Lepisosteus oculatus: one gene and its partner. The protein of the gene in region 1 interacts with the protein of each later gene in a pairwise test. Links are inferred from orthologs where the notes say so. Each region holds a gene or a part of one and is shown on either strand. Other genes may lie near its edges.

Region 1 (7,604 bases):
GTATTGGTCCCTAAGAATTTCAGGGTATGAATATTAATTAGACCTTCATCCTTTTTCAAAGCTGACCATGGGTGCTCTGACTTTTAAAGTACAGTATAAGAGATGGAATGAGAAGACACTTTGATTTCTTGAAAAATCGTAAAAGAACAAGGGACATTCATATTCATACCCATAAATTAGGATGAATGCCAAACTGATTATAAAGTGTCACTGAAGATTTATTTATTCAAAAGTTATATTTCAGTTTAATTCATTCCAAAATAAAATTGTGTTATGTTCTGGAAAATTACAAAAGAGGAAAGTGACTTTGTCATGAAAGGAGTATAACATTGCTTGTAGTCTGCAGAACAGTCTGTGGTGAAAGACTATATAAATATAACAGCAACTCTGTATAAATGTTAGCACTGCATACTTTTATATAATGTATGTCCTTCATGCATGAATAACAGGATGAATTTTAAAACTTTTTCATGCTGTGGAAATAAGCCCCGCTTTTTGTGTTTTACATCCAGTTAATTCTCCAAGCCTGTATTTAATTAGCTTTCCTTCTCAAGGACTACATTCTTTCTGATCAGAGATGTACCCTTGAACATTGGGGTGCAAATTATGTTTGGGAAAAAAAAACCCAAACAAACATGAAAAAACTAGAGAGCCATACTGTAAAATACCAGTACATGAATCTTGGCCCCATACTGCGTTATACTACTACTAATAGTAATAAACTTTATTTTATATATCACCTTTAAAAGGTGGCTTCTCAAAGCGCTTGGGAACAATATAGAGCGGGTTAAAACAAATAAAGACAAGGGTGACAGAGAAAGAAGAAAAAAGAAGATTAAAAAATGAAAAGAGGCAAGAGGACTGACAGCCAAACGCACCAGCGTTCCCTCTCATTCAGAACCGGAAGTGAATACCTATCTATGAATTTCTGCCCTTCTTACTATGATTGCTACTGTTTGCCCAGGACGCCTATCATAAGAATAAGGGTGTCAGTATCCTGGCTAAATTTCGCTCTGGGCTTGTACAGCCTATCCTACCTAACAATTGCCCTAAATTCTACTGCTGAAGCAGTTTTTACACCTCTACTTGATCTGCTCTGCTGTAAGGTGCTGGTGCATAATGCCTATTGCACATCACTCAAGTGGATACTGCACTTTAGGGAGGGTGAAGAGTGCCCCTTCTGATACATTTAAAGGGCTTTGGGATTCTTTTGGGATGAAAAGCGCTATACAGTATAAGTATGATTAATTCTTGATGATCCTTCATGATAAGAATGAGTCAGATATTAAACTGCAGGAAAGATGTTACAGCGTACAAAATAAACTAAAACTGACACTCAAGAGAAAGAATCCCAGTTTGAAAGCTGGCATAGCAATAAGTGAGATGGTTTGGGATGGGGAAGCAAAAAAGGCATTCTGACTGGCCATTCTCCTGGCAGTAACTAGACAGAACCTGGCTGTCATTTTCTGAATTTAAAAAGGAGGTAACAATTCAGTTGAAGAAAAAAAACCCCATGAGAATTATGCTAGCAGCTCATGAAGAAAATAATACAGTTTCCTTGGAAATATAAATTAATATAAAACAATGTAAAAGATACAAAGGTTTTACTGCCACATATAAACTAAGGAATAAGAAGATCTGGGGGGTTTTCAGTTATTTCCCTCTAATTTTGTTAATCCAGCCATGAGGTAAATTTAGTCTTTACAATAAACAAGGCGGTCAGAAGTCATTAAATAATCTTCCACTGAATTTATATTCCATGAATGGATAATTATTTTTACTATAAGCTGTATGTTAAAATATTATTAATATGAACACTGGATGACTGCTGACATTGTATTTCCATCATTATTATTATAATAGAGAATTCAAAAGTACACCAGGCTCTATTTTTATTCATCTGTTGAATGCCATGCAATTGAAAGCTAGTTTTAGAAAAACAGAGGCATTCAGTATCTGCTGCACAAACCAATGAAATATGAATTCATATATGAAAGACTGGTATTGCATAAAAAATCACAATTGTCCTAAATAATTTTGCTAAGTTTCCGAATGCTGAAATCAAAATGAATTTAAAATAATCCCAATCAGCAACCAGTATTTCTTTGAACCTCCTCTTGGTTTGATAAACCTTCTTATAGGTTCAGGCACTTGTCAATAGGGATTTCTGATCATTTTTCCATATACAACTTCCACTTACTCAGCTGCTAGAAACTTATCTGAACTTTCTGAGACTATTTGAAACTGGCAATGGCTGAGAACACCAGAGGCTTACATTTCAGAATTGTATGACAAATTTGCAGAATGTAAATAAGTTTTAACATTGTGTATTTAGAATGCTATAAAGTTATTTTGCATAGATATCCTTGTGTAATATTCAAAACTGCAGTTACAGGCAGTTTATGTTTTAATTTATTCATGCAATAAATATTGAATAGGCACTTTCATTATTTTCTGCTAATACTAGCTTTCACCAAGATTCTATTAGGGGTATAAATTAATTTGGCATCAGCTGTGTAAGTTAATATTAATAGGTTTGATTTGATGTACATTTTTCAGTGGATTAGTCTGAATTTCCAAATAATGTTCAGTATTTTATATTATCTTAATATTTAGATCTCTCCAGGAATTGAAATTTAACAACAAAAGAAAAAAAACACTTCATCGATCATTAAATGATTTTGTTCACATGCAAGAAAAAATGCATGAAGACCTGATACCTTCTACAGTCGATTTAATTTAAAACTAGACAAAAAACTAAATTAATGAAAGTAAGTAAATTCACTTTTGACCGTCTGGGTAGATGGAGATATTCCGCAAAATATTGTCCCTTCATTTACATATTGTTTCTTCATGAAAAGTGTAAGAATTGGAACAGTGAAGTGAAATGTATCTCTTTTTTTTGCTGTGTACTAATGAAATTTGTATTTTAGACCAAAAGATTTGATATAAGATAATATAGAGTTGATTTGATGTAAGAAATACAGAATTTCAGCTGTTGTTATTGGGTATTATTTTTTAGCCACATTAAACCCATATCATTTAATGTGTTCAATTACCAATTTCTTCAGTATCCCAAAAATATGCTTTTCACTGTATGTGAGGAATACTGTCTTCCATGTTGGCCCAGACAACAACGCAAAGAACAGAAAGCATTTTCTAAGATGATATCAGTGCAAAAATTAAGGAACACTAATTCAAAAATCCAATCAATCAACATTGTTGTTTGAGTCTTAGTGCTAGGAAAAACAGATTACATTGTGAAAAGCACTCAACGTCAAAAACACTAGCTGTTGGTGGGGGGAATCATAACCATCATATTTCGCAGGAAAATGGAGAGCTTTCTTAATGAAATGTGAGATTAATGTAGTAAATTACCAAGTAGTAATATTATTTTTACCAAGGATAATAATGACAACACAAAGATAACCTTGCTATGGACATCTCGGAGCAAAGATCAAGCAACTCATAAGTTTTGGAGAAGCATAGCAGAGTGTGAGGCGACGGACTAGCACAGATTAAAAAAAAACAAACTTGCGTTACAAAACAAGGGGTATATACGCAGTATATTCAATTTCCTTTTCTCGGTGGTCTAGAATATGCATATTCTTTAAATGATGATTTATGGTTGTTGTTATTATTATTATAAGTGCGCCACATTTCAAGAACTGTGTCTGGGAAACATGATAAAATACAATGTTCTTTTAATAGTTTTCTTGAGACTTGTGTTTCTAACGTATTAAAATGAAGAGCATTGTATTTATTCAGCACCTTACAGTTAAACTGAAACGTCAAACAGAATGATAGTGAATTGTTTATTTTATAGGAACCGAGGCTGGATTCCAAGTGACATTTAGCGGAGTTTCAGTGCAAACGCACATCAAGAGGTTCACCCTTCTAGCGAATTACAGCTCACTGCAGGAAACCCCCTTACCTTTCCAATGACGTAACACACACGGGCAGAAGGCGTTCCTCCGTTAGGTCATTGTTCAGCCTGCCGTGACGTCCTCATGCTCCTCCGGCACTGAAAAAGCTCAGGTTCTCCTGTCTCTCCCCTGGCAGAGTGCGAGCGACATGCCACTTTAAACGCTAACAGCTTTCAACAATTCCTTCCTCTCCTGTTAGGAGGTTGCAATTCTGACATGGAATAGGAAAGTAAATCAATTCATGATCCTAGGAAAAAGAAACGGTTAGTTCTCTAACTACAGGTAATTTCTGTAGCAACACATTTGACCACTGCTGTGTGAAAATAGGTTGCCTTTTTCTTTGTTGTTTGGTTATACTGCTCACTACAGTATAAATCAGCAGGATCGCACCTATACGAAGCATAAGTGTATTAAATGTATATAAATAGATGAAAGTCATGTATGTACATGTATACGTATGTAAATGAATAAATGATACATACCACTATAATTGTATACATAAAGCATCCGTCTCACTTTGGAGCAAGAAAAATAAGAGAAAACCAACTAACTGTGCCCGTGCAGGCAGGGATGAAAGACAGCTCCGGCTGCTGACACTGACAGCCGAGGGGTCGAGCAATTCACGGGCGCCTGCGAGATTCTCGCGAAGCATTGCGGATAGCGACGCCATTTTGGGAAGGAGAGGGGCAAAAGCGGCAAAAATTAAAAATAAAAAGAAGAAAAAAGATCGTATTAAACAAATCCGTCCTCCGCAATGGTGCACGGGAACGCCAAGGATAACGCTTGACAATGGGGAACTTTCTTGCTCGCCTGGTATTGCTCACAGATTGAGAAAGTGGATAGGAAATTGTAAAAAAGGAAGAGGCTAAATTTTGGCTAATGAGTGTGTCTTGTAATTGGACAGTGTTAAGAAGTGGTACCAGTGTGAGTATTTTCAGGGCCATCGGGAGAGAACTAGTGGAATAGGTTTGCCACAGGTAAGCGGACTGTAAAGAAGTTCAAAAGCCCTTTCTTGACGAGCTGTAAAAAATAGCGGCGGTGATGATCGATTTGCAAGCCCGTTTAAAGACGACTGCAAACAGAAACCAAGTGTTATTGTCTCATGGTAGTTGTGTGCGCAGTTGTCCCACGCTGGTGTTTTATTTTTCCATTATGTAACATGCGATGCACAGTGTGACGGTCGTCACCCGCGCCGCTGCGGCGACCCGCGGGCGCGGAGCTGCCTTGTCTGGACCGGGGGGTTTCCAAACCTGCTCCCGGAGGGCCGGTGGGTGCGGGTGCGGGTTTTCACTCCAGCTCCGCTCTGAACGAGCTAAATCAGATGGGTACCGTCTTAACTGCACCCCTTTAATATCGCCTCTCTCTTCTTCGGGTGCTGCTGCTTTAAGAGAGCTTGAAAACCCGCGGAAGAACCGACCCCTCCAGGACCAGGATTGGGGACTCAGGCTGGACTGTCGGGCGCTTTGCTCATCGCTTCTTTTTTTTTTACTGTCACCTTTTCGTATGTCATTAAAAAAGAACACCAAACGAACCGGACGCTTCGCTGAAAATAAAAACAGAGCAACATTTTGGATAGTTGGTGGTATGTTTTGTAACTATTATTGTGTAGTCTTCGCGTGTTGGAGATCCACTAACCTTTTTCGTATTCTTTCTCTTGCAGACGAGGAGCTGTTTGCCCGTTGGTCTGCATTAATAATACACTGTCAAGAAGCTGCTGTTTATTTGGAGTCCAAACCCGACGACGAATGGCCCATTTCTCGGCTTTTGTGTGTGCCAAATATGCCGAAGGACGGACTGCTGGCCCTGAGAATCCCGAGATGAAATAGGAAGTCCGTATCTTTAAATATCGTGACATTTACACTCGGACTTGACGAGACACACTTGGTCCAAGAGGTTTTCTGAGACTGGCGTTTGAAGAATATGAGTCAGTAGTTGCACTTTACTGAGTTGGAACGAAAGATTTTCCAGATTTTTTGGCTTGAATTGCCCGGAATCGGCTTTCAATAATGACAGATTAAAAACACTTCGAGATTATTCTACCGGCGGGTTATGCTGCACGTTTATAGATGAGGGCAATTGAGAGTAGCAGCCGTCGTCTCATTTTTTGTGATGTGATTTTTTTATTTTCTCTTTGTTTTTGTAGGTAGTGCGAGAATGGTGTCAAGATAGTCTCCTGTTTTGATAACTTTTGCAGGGGACGCCTGATCCTGAGCCTCAACCCCTTCTTTTTTTTCCTGAAAAGTGTCATACACACACTGATGTATCGGGCACAGTAAACGTTAATTCGCTTAACGTTGACATCCTTAAACCGTCTCTTCCATTCTGGGATTTGGGATTATTCAAAAGAAGATGGCAAGTTGATTGAGGATTACGTGTACATATTGTAAAGGACCCGATCTGCATGAGAAATCTGTAGGCAGAACACCGGGATTATTACATTGTTGGTATTTTTTTTTTCATTGCTAAAGACAAAAGGAAGAAACGTGGAGCTTTTGGGAAGTCTGACGACAAGAGACGCCTTTTTGTACAGTCCTCAACATTTGGTTAGTAACATCTTACTGAACGCTTCGGCTTTGTTTTTTAAGGATTTTACCCTTAATGGATCGCAAGCTTTAAAAGTCGGAATATACTTGTGTATTCAATTATAGCACATGCGGATATTAATTTGACTTATGTTGTCGGTCTATGGATGGAAAAGATATTAAGCAAACCTCGCTATTACCTTATTGCCAGTAATTTATATTAAAAAAAGTATATATGTGAGTGGTATAGACCTACTTTATTTTCATACGGGAAGTAATAGCGCCTTCTGTCATGGTCGGTATTTTATTGTGTTCGTTGATTGGTGGTAGTAATAACTGAAAAATGATAGAGAAGAAATAACAGAAAATTTCAGTGTCACTTTTTAGTGATTGGACATAACAGCGGTATCCTGGGAAAATCTTTTTTTTTTTTGCAGACATCATTTTTACGTCATCTCAGTTTTTGTCCGCAGAAAGCCACATGATTTCGACTGTAAAGCTGCGATGTTTTTCTTCTGGCATCATAGGGTTGCAGTGTTTGAGAGTACAGCCAAAAGATGGTACTCTGTGAAAGGAAATCTGTGGGCGGACAGATCTTAAGTGCACTTTCACTTCTTTCTGTGTTTTCAGACCGTAACCCTGTTGTCACCGCATGTTTTGTATTGGTGCCCATTAGCGTCTGGCTCTCGTTTGGGAAAAAAAAAAACAGGTGCTGGATCATGCATGCTGTAAATTGAAGTATTGAGATTTTTTAAAACTTTTCTTCAGGGTGGTTAAATATTGCATGACATTGGGGAGCCTGAGATCCCAGGGATTTTCAATAAAGAAAGGTTTGCTTACTTTTAGCTTTTTAATTTCCTGCTATCAGGCTTTTGGTGTTCGTCACAGTTTTGAATTCTAATGGTTGTAGGAGTAGGGCACATGTTCTTGAATAACCATGCTTAATAGCAGGTTTTCTTTGTGGATCTGAGCATTTACTGGCAAGGTAATAGTATTGCATCATATGAATAGCTACTGTAAAATAAATTGTGATAGTTGTCAATTTTATGGTCTCTAGGCCTTTAGCGTTCTCTAAGAAATCCTGTGAAGCGGTCCAGCACAGTGTGCAGTCTGTTGATTGAAATTGAGTGTTGTGTAAAACAAGTGTTGAACATTT
Region 2 (7,784 bases), on another chromosome or scaffold:
GTAAATGGATGTTGAGCTGCCGCCAGCCAGTGCCTCCTCTCCTCAAGGGTGAGCTTAATGGCGAGAAGCTCCCTGTCCCCAAGATAACCTCTTAACTTAATCTCTGCTGGTGAAGGTCTCCTTGAGAAAAAGGCACTGGGCTGGAGGGTACCTCAGTTTAAATGATGGGTTATGTGAAGGTGTGAAAAACAATGGTTTGCCTTCACACCTTTGATTCTCTGAAAAAGAATGCATCGTCTGCAACGAGGAAGGGCCTTTAACTAAACCAGGTATGAGCTCCTATACCAAATCAAGGTGGGACTGTAAGAAGTAGAGGATTCTAGAGATGTACAGTAACATACAATCTGGTTTTTGTCCTAAGCCATGCACAACGCCGATAAGAAGGTCCGCTTGCATGCATACTGGTGTTGGGTAGAGGGCACATGAGCACTGTAAGGGTTTCACAGCCCTGGACCTGAAACTGTGATGTTCAGAGGCCAGACCCCAGCTGATGGTGGCAGAGCCTGTGTCCAGGGTTAGAAGACCTGGCTGTGGGGAACCTGCCTGAGCTATTGAGTGAGCATCAGTGTAAGCAAGGGGAACCATATTCGTCTGATGCACAGTGGGAGAGACACATCTGGGGGTGAGACAGAGTAAGGTCTTGGCCCACGTGTATGCTGGCTCATCACAGCCCAGGAGAGTCTCCCAATCCATGATAGCCAACCACAGATCACTGGGACTTGACTCCTCAGAGGCAAGGAGAATCATTTGCCCTTCCCTAATCAGTTTCCATTATCTGCTGAAGGATGTTAATGCCATTCTGCAACCCCAACACCAGTCCTTCTGGGCAGTAATTCTGCTGTTGTGTTGGCTGTTCTGGGAAGGCAAATGGAACATTTTAGGTGATGTCCTGAGTGCACACTCAAGTGTTTTGGCCATGCTACGCTGCTGGTCAGAAATGCCCCCATACCTTGCAGCTCTTTGACGATGGGTTCGATTTCAGCCTGGGGCACATTCTGAATGGACTTTGCATGTTCTCTCCCTGCTCATGTGAGCTTCCCACAGATTCTCCAGTTTCCTCCCACAGACATGCTGCCTAGGATAACTGGTGTCTCTTAATTGTGTGTGAGAATGGTGTCTCCTAGAAACTGTGCATGACACTTCACACAGTATTGTATATTATGGTATACATACACCTCTCATCTATGAAAGACCCCCTTCCTAGAAACACTATCCTCTGTTTCACTTGGCACCTCAGGGCCACCGTACAGGAAGACCTAACGGTAGGGACAACTAAGAGGCAGCAAAATGGGAATCATATAGAGAATGAAAATAGCTGTTTTTAGTATGGCTCACAACAGCATGCCACAGGCATTGCAAAATGTTTTTGTGGTTAGTGGAGAAATCAGAACATCTGTGACAGTACCGCACAGAATAGAACTACCTCTAAAGCAATACATGCATGGAGAGATACTGTACAGAAAAGACCAACATTAAAACATGATTCAGTCTCCACCTGCTCTTATCATCATTAAAACACTAAATTGAATAAACCCACACACGCAGTGGTGTAAGACTTCATTAGCAGTGACTACAGAGGGCTAATATTACATCTGCATTCTGTTTTGTACTGGGATTTCTCACAGGATAAGAAAAAAAATTATGCTGCACAAAGTGAGACATTGGCAGGGGTGTCGTGCACTGGTTCTGATTCAGCAGTTGTGAACAGACCACTTTATATTACCGGCCGTTATAAAAATAGACAAGGTGTGAAACAGACCCATTTAAGTCGTACATCACTGGCTCTGGGCTGTGAACAGCTCAGCTCCGGTGAAAATAAAATAGACCAGTACTACATACCCTCCCTTAAGGGGATTAGTTACTAGGATATAGCTATAAAAGACTAGGGCGTGTTCATCTGTACCTACTGCTTTTCCCCTCAGTAACGTTGCAGCTTGCCGGTGGATCTCCGAGCTACTTTGAGGAACACTAGTCCCTATTTACAAAACTTTTTTTCCCCCATTCTGTTTGGTTGGCCTCGCAGGGCATACAAAATAAACGAGAGCTACGCAAAAACAGCAGCCATAAAAATTAACCGCATTGAATAAATATATTTTGACTTCAGCTCGTATTTTATTGACGTCTGCAAAAGTGTCAGTACTACAGCACTTCTGTGTTACTGCGTGTAGTTTATCTTTTGTGGTTTTAAGTAAAAAACAACAGGTATTAGCTGTGTATTTTCACATTTGCACAGGATGCGTGTAAAAGGTAAGTTGTTTACCACTAATGAATCTTCGCGCACCGCGAGCCAGAGGAAGGGCGTTCACTTCCGTTTCTGGAGAAATTCGGCTGAAGCTAACCGCCACGGTACAGCAGTATATTGCAACATTCTCCCACGACTCGACATGCAGCTTCTTGGTTCTGATCAGGACAAGCTGAGTGAGGATGATTGCACGGTTTACACTCTTACGAACACGCACAACCGCGAACACGTTCCGGGTTTACAGACTGTATGAAGAGCGCACACATATCGCACCTTGGGTGCGAATATGCATTAGCACCTGTTCACATTCGCTGAAGGGGCAGAACCGTTTTGAGACTTAAATAATTCCACCTTTTACACATTAAATAAGTCAGACCCGTGTTTAACAAGCTGGATATGAGCTCTCTGTAAACACTATTCTTGAGCGAACGTCGTTAAATCCCAATAAACATCTGGAGTGAACCTGGGACAGCTGACCACTATCGGATGCCTACTGTAAATATCCCATTTTCTAGTCGCCCAAACAGAGAACATATCTTTTTGGGGATATAATATAACACGGTCTAATACAGTTGTATATGTATGAGGACATAACTCGTCTGTCACTTTCATGCGAAGGCAAACTTTTGAATTGTGTTTGCATCTGTTTCTCCTACCTTCGTTGTGAGCATCACCTGTACTTAGAAATTATTATAATCCATGGGCTACCAAATTTTCCTCACTGTTTACACATTAAAGGGATTTTTTTAAGTGTTTTGATTAGGCCTGTATCACTATAGTTACCATTACCGAGCACGACAGCATTGTGAGGTCATTCTGCCACTACAGAAAACCATCAAACACGATGATGTGCGGGGCGCCCAAACGCTACATTTCTATTTACTGTAGTAGCAACAATAATTATAACAACGATGATAATGATGATGATCAAAGTGTCGCCAAATGTATTTAATTACATGAAATGCGTTATCATCTAGTAAATAAATACAAACAATAGGTGTCCCCCCCCCCCCTTTCAGTAATGTTGGAAATAGAACCAACAATAAAATCAGACATTAAACTACAGCAATTGGCCCGCAGAGACCTCAGCTGCAAGACTGAATGAGTGTTGTCGCCACCTCGTGGCAGGAACTGGAACAGGTGAGAACCTACTTTTTCGAAGGTAAGAGTAAGGTAGAATAAATATAATAATAATTCCTTACACTCATATAGCGCTTTTCTGGACACTCCACTCAAAGTGCTTTACAGGTAATGGGGTCTCCCCTCCACCATCAACAGTGTGCAGCCCCCACCTGGATGATGTGACAGCAGTACTCTCACCACACACCAGCTCTCAGTGGGGAGGAGAACAGAGTAATGAAGCCATTTCAGAGAGGGGGATTATTAGGAAGCCATGGTTGTTAAAAGCCAATGAGAAATGTTGTCCAGCACACCTGGGTTACACCCCTACTCTTTTCGAGAAACGTGCTGGGATTTTTAATGACCACAGAGAGTCAGAACCTCGGTTTTACATCTCATCTGAAGACAACACCTTTTTACAGTGCAGCATCCCCATCACTATAGTGGGGCATCAGGACCCACATGGACTGCATGGTGAGCACCCCCTACTGGCCCCACTAACACCTCTTCCAGCAGCAGCCTTAGCTTTCCCAGGAGGCCTCTCATCCAGGTACTGACCAGGCTCACACTGCTGAGCTTCAGTGGGGCTGCCAATTAAGAGTTACAGGAGGGTATACAGGTTACAGGTTGCTGAATGAAAATGAACGAATGAGAACAAAACCTGCTTCAACCCAGAGTTATCTTGTGTTTTCTGCTCTCCTTACTGTCCCCCAAGCCCGTCTACATTGTATGGGTGACAGGGCCTTCTCCTGTTATGCCCCCAAGCTCTGGAACTCTCTCCCCAAGGATATCAGAGAGTCACCTTCTCTAACCTCCTTCAAATCCAGACTCAAAACCCTCTTCTTCAGAAAAGCCTTTACTGAACTGGTTCCATTCTTCACCCCTCTGCTCTTCTTAGTACCACCATCCACGGTCTCCTCTATTGTAATTGTTGTATTGTTGTAATTGTGTTTTATCTTGTGTATTCTTTTTATTTATTGTTGTTGTCATCCTGTAAAGCGCTTTGAGAAGCCACCTTCAAAGGCGTTATATAAAAAAAGTGTATTATTATTATTATCATTATTATTATTATTATTATTCTTGAAGGAAACAGTAGCAGAAATCGATCTGTTTGCCTGTAGTTTGTTTCTCACAGTCTTTGCGTTCACACGTGCAGTAATCAGTGACAACCTCAACTTGCTTGTTTCTGATTAAACTTACTGCTATTTTTGATTAAACAGCTGTTAGTAGGCGATCAGGGTGGTACAGTATGGTGGTACAGGGGTGTTAGCATTGCTGTCATACGCTTTATCACTTAATCTTAAAGAGACTTGAAAACAGCTGGATGAGATACTTGGATCAATTAGTTACTAACTTACAAACAGGCTAAACAGGCCCACCCACCAGTGGGGTTAATTGTCACCTTTCTGATGTCGTGACACACGCGCTGACGCTCTGTGCTGGTTTTCTGGAGTATTGCAGAGGCCATGGGAAACAACTCGCCCGACATTGAAGGAGGCACTCTCAGGGCAAACAGCTCTGCAAACAGCTCTCAGGAAGTCACTGATCTAGTCCGCCCTACAAGATGGGAGAAAAACTAAGGTCGCTGCTGGCAGAGGTGTTAGTGGGGCCAGCAGGGGGCGCTAACCCCTTCGGTCAGTGTGGGTCCTAATGCCCCAGTATAGTGATAGAGGGACACTATACTCTAAAAAGGTGCTGTCCTTCGGATGAGACGAAAAACCGAGGTCCTGTCCGTCTGTGGTCATTAACAATCCCAGGGCATTTCTTGAAAAGAGTAGGGGTGTAACCCCAGTGTCCTGGCCAAATTTCCCATTAGTCCTTACCAATCATGGCCTCCTAATAATCCCCATCTCTGAACTGGCTTCATCACTCTGCTCTCCTCCCCACTGAGAGCTGGTGTGTGGAGAGTACTGGAGCACTGTGGCTGCCGTCACCTCATCCAGGTGGGGCTGCACACTGGTGGTGGTGGAGGAGGGGATCTCCATTACCTGTAAAGTGCTTTGAGTGGAGAGTCCAGAAAAGTGCAATATAAGTGTAAGGAATTATTATTAATTATTAATCCTCTCGCCTTGTTCCTCAGCCCCAATCTTCAAGCATCTAAAATGTACAGGTTCAGAAATGTCTCGGTCATTGCTGTAAAATCATATAAGATGTAGAAAAAGACCCATTCTGGTCTGCATGACTCCAGCAGATACTAACCTTCACTGTAGCTTTTAAATGAGATGGTAAGTTCTGTAAACAGAACTTTAAAACTTGTTTTCCATTCATAAACAACCGAGTGTTGTCAAAATATGTAAAGTTAAAAAAAGTTTAACTTTTTTAGACCCCAACAATGTCAGGGGTCTAATCAAGCAGGCTACTTGCTGAATGTAAGGCCCATTTTAATACTAGAGAGCTCATCTGGAATCAAATAGATTTGGGATAGCTCTGCTGGAAAAAAACAGAAATAATGCCCCGCTATAGAGATGGGGACACTATACTGTAAAAAGGTGCCGTCCTTCGGATGAGATGTAAAACCGAGGTCCTGACTCTCTGTGGTGATTGAAAATCCCAGGGAACTTCTTGAAAAGGGTAAGGGTGTAACCCTGGTGTCCTGGCTATTTTCACCCTGACGTTTATCATTCATGGCCTCCTAATAATCCCCATCTCTGAATTGGCTTCATTACTCTGCTCTCCTCCCCACTAATAGCTGATGTGTGGTGAGCGTTCTGGCACACTCTGGCTGCTGTCGCATCATCCAGGTGGGGCTGCACACTGGTGGTGGTGGAGAGGATCCACATTACCTGTAAAGTGTCCTGAGTGGAGGGTCAGGAAAAGTATGTGTCAGCAATTACTATTATTATTAAAATACCAGCACTGAGACAGAGGCACATTTCCAGACACCAAAAGCCAAGATGATGAAGCAGACACTCTAGCAAAACAGAACTGACTGTAGCTGCTTGAACTGTTTTCAATTTAAAAAAAACAGCAGCAGCAAAGCACTGAAACCACAGTGAGGCAACACAGAATTGGTCCGATAGGGAACGAAAGAGCCCATTCAACTAATGCTTAACCGGCGTGGGCTGCTCTGAATGATAAAAGAAAAAGGGTTTATGAAGGCAGAGAAATAGAAATAGAGTTCTGAAAATATGTCAGGCGTTAATAGGGTTAAGTAACGAAGAGCAGGAAAGTCAGTGTGCAAGGAGTACTGAGTTGATGTTGAGAATTATGTATTTAGCCATGCTTTATACAGTAACAGATGGACCACTGGAACGCCCACAGAGGCTGAGTTATGTTGGCAGAGATATTGCCTTCTTTTGAGATCTCAGATGATAGGCCAGGGCTGAGAGGGACAGACCTCCAGAGAGAGCTGCTGCTTTAAGTGAGGTGGTGAGCCAGTAGGTGGCGCTCTTCTGCCTCCAACAGAAATTCAATGCCAATGCCTTTGTATGATGATCGAATTCATTAAGGTGCAAAAGGTCTCGTCTTTCGGAGGTGAGATCTCTGGGGATCAGATCCTTCGGAATGAGAAGCGCTGTAAAAATGCACATTCGATTTTCCCACTGCTGTTTCAAAGCACCTGCAGTGCTTTAATTCTGCCACTAGACGGAGCTCCTGTAACGCAAGATCTATCAAACTGAGACTCGAGAGCTACCACTTTTGTTTGTTCATAACACCTATTATACATTATGAACAAACATTTATATTAGAATTTCTCTTTTAAATTATTACAAATAAAACGCATTAACGCTTGTTCATATGAAGGATGTTCGGACTACATGTGGTTGCTCGCTTAATTTAGCTGGAAAAGCTGTACCGGGGTTTGTAATCAAACAAGTTCATTGCGCACACCAGTTGCTATTACTAGTTTTCGAGGAGCCCGAATCTGCCCAGCCTTAAAAGCCCCCAGCGAACGTCAAATATTTTATTTGGGTTCGCTTGGGTTCGTTGTCTTAAACTATAAATTTAAAATGGAAGCAGCTGTTTAAAATAAATAATTTAATTAGACTGGTGTTTAATTGCTTTTTAATTGTAACTTAAAGAAAATGTACGTATTGTCCGAATGCACACCAGCAGGAGGCGATGCTGTATGAATGCGTTCGTTTGCACAGGACCCGCCGAAGAAAACCGACAATCGTGCTGCATCCGAAGCTTGAGACCAAGAAGGAAATCTGCGCCTGAGTTTGGCATCGACCCTGCAACTCCAGTAAGACTTCATACTGCGCCATAAATACTGACGAGGCTTTCTTAACACATTAAGAGTGCCACAGATTCAAGCATATGGGCCTTCAATCACCTTGCTTCCCTGAGTCATCTCGACTGCAGGTCGAACTGTGAAAGTGATACCCACGCAGGCACGCTGGAATCGTAATTCGTTGTAGAATTGAGCGAGGTGGTGTGGATTTTACTTGTCGGGGTGCTGAGAGCTGTAAACTATTCAGAT

What was found.
Region 2: the proteins of vasculin (region 1) and fibronectin type III domain-containing protein 11 interact in binary tests that used the Homo sapiens proteins (3 or more experiments, as listed by UniProt). The link is inferred for Lepisosteus oculatus from reciprocal best matches to the Homo sapiens genes GPBP1 and FNDC11.

The regions. Positions count from the first base shown.
Region 1 is NC_090698.1:47,156,566-47,164,169, forward strand, and holds the start of vasculin, read left to right. Parts: upstream 1-4,600; 5' UTR 4,601-4,903; intron 4,904-5,114; exon of another isoform or gene 5,115-5,508; intron 5,509-5,586; 5' UTR 5,587-5,755; exon of another isoform or gene 5,756-6,069; 5' UTR 6,070-6,469; intron 6,470-7,604. UniProt on the Homo sapiens protein: Functions as a GC-rich promoter-specific transactivating transcription factor.
Region 2 is NC_090711.1:13,185,289-13,193,072, reverse strand, and holds the start of fibronectin type III domain-containing protein 11, read right to left. Parts: upstream 3,001-7,784; 5' UTR 2,899-3,000; intron 1-2,898.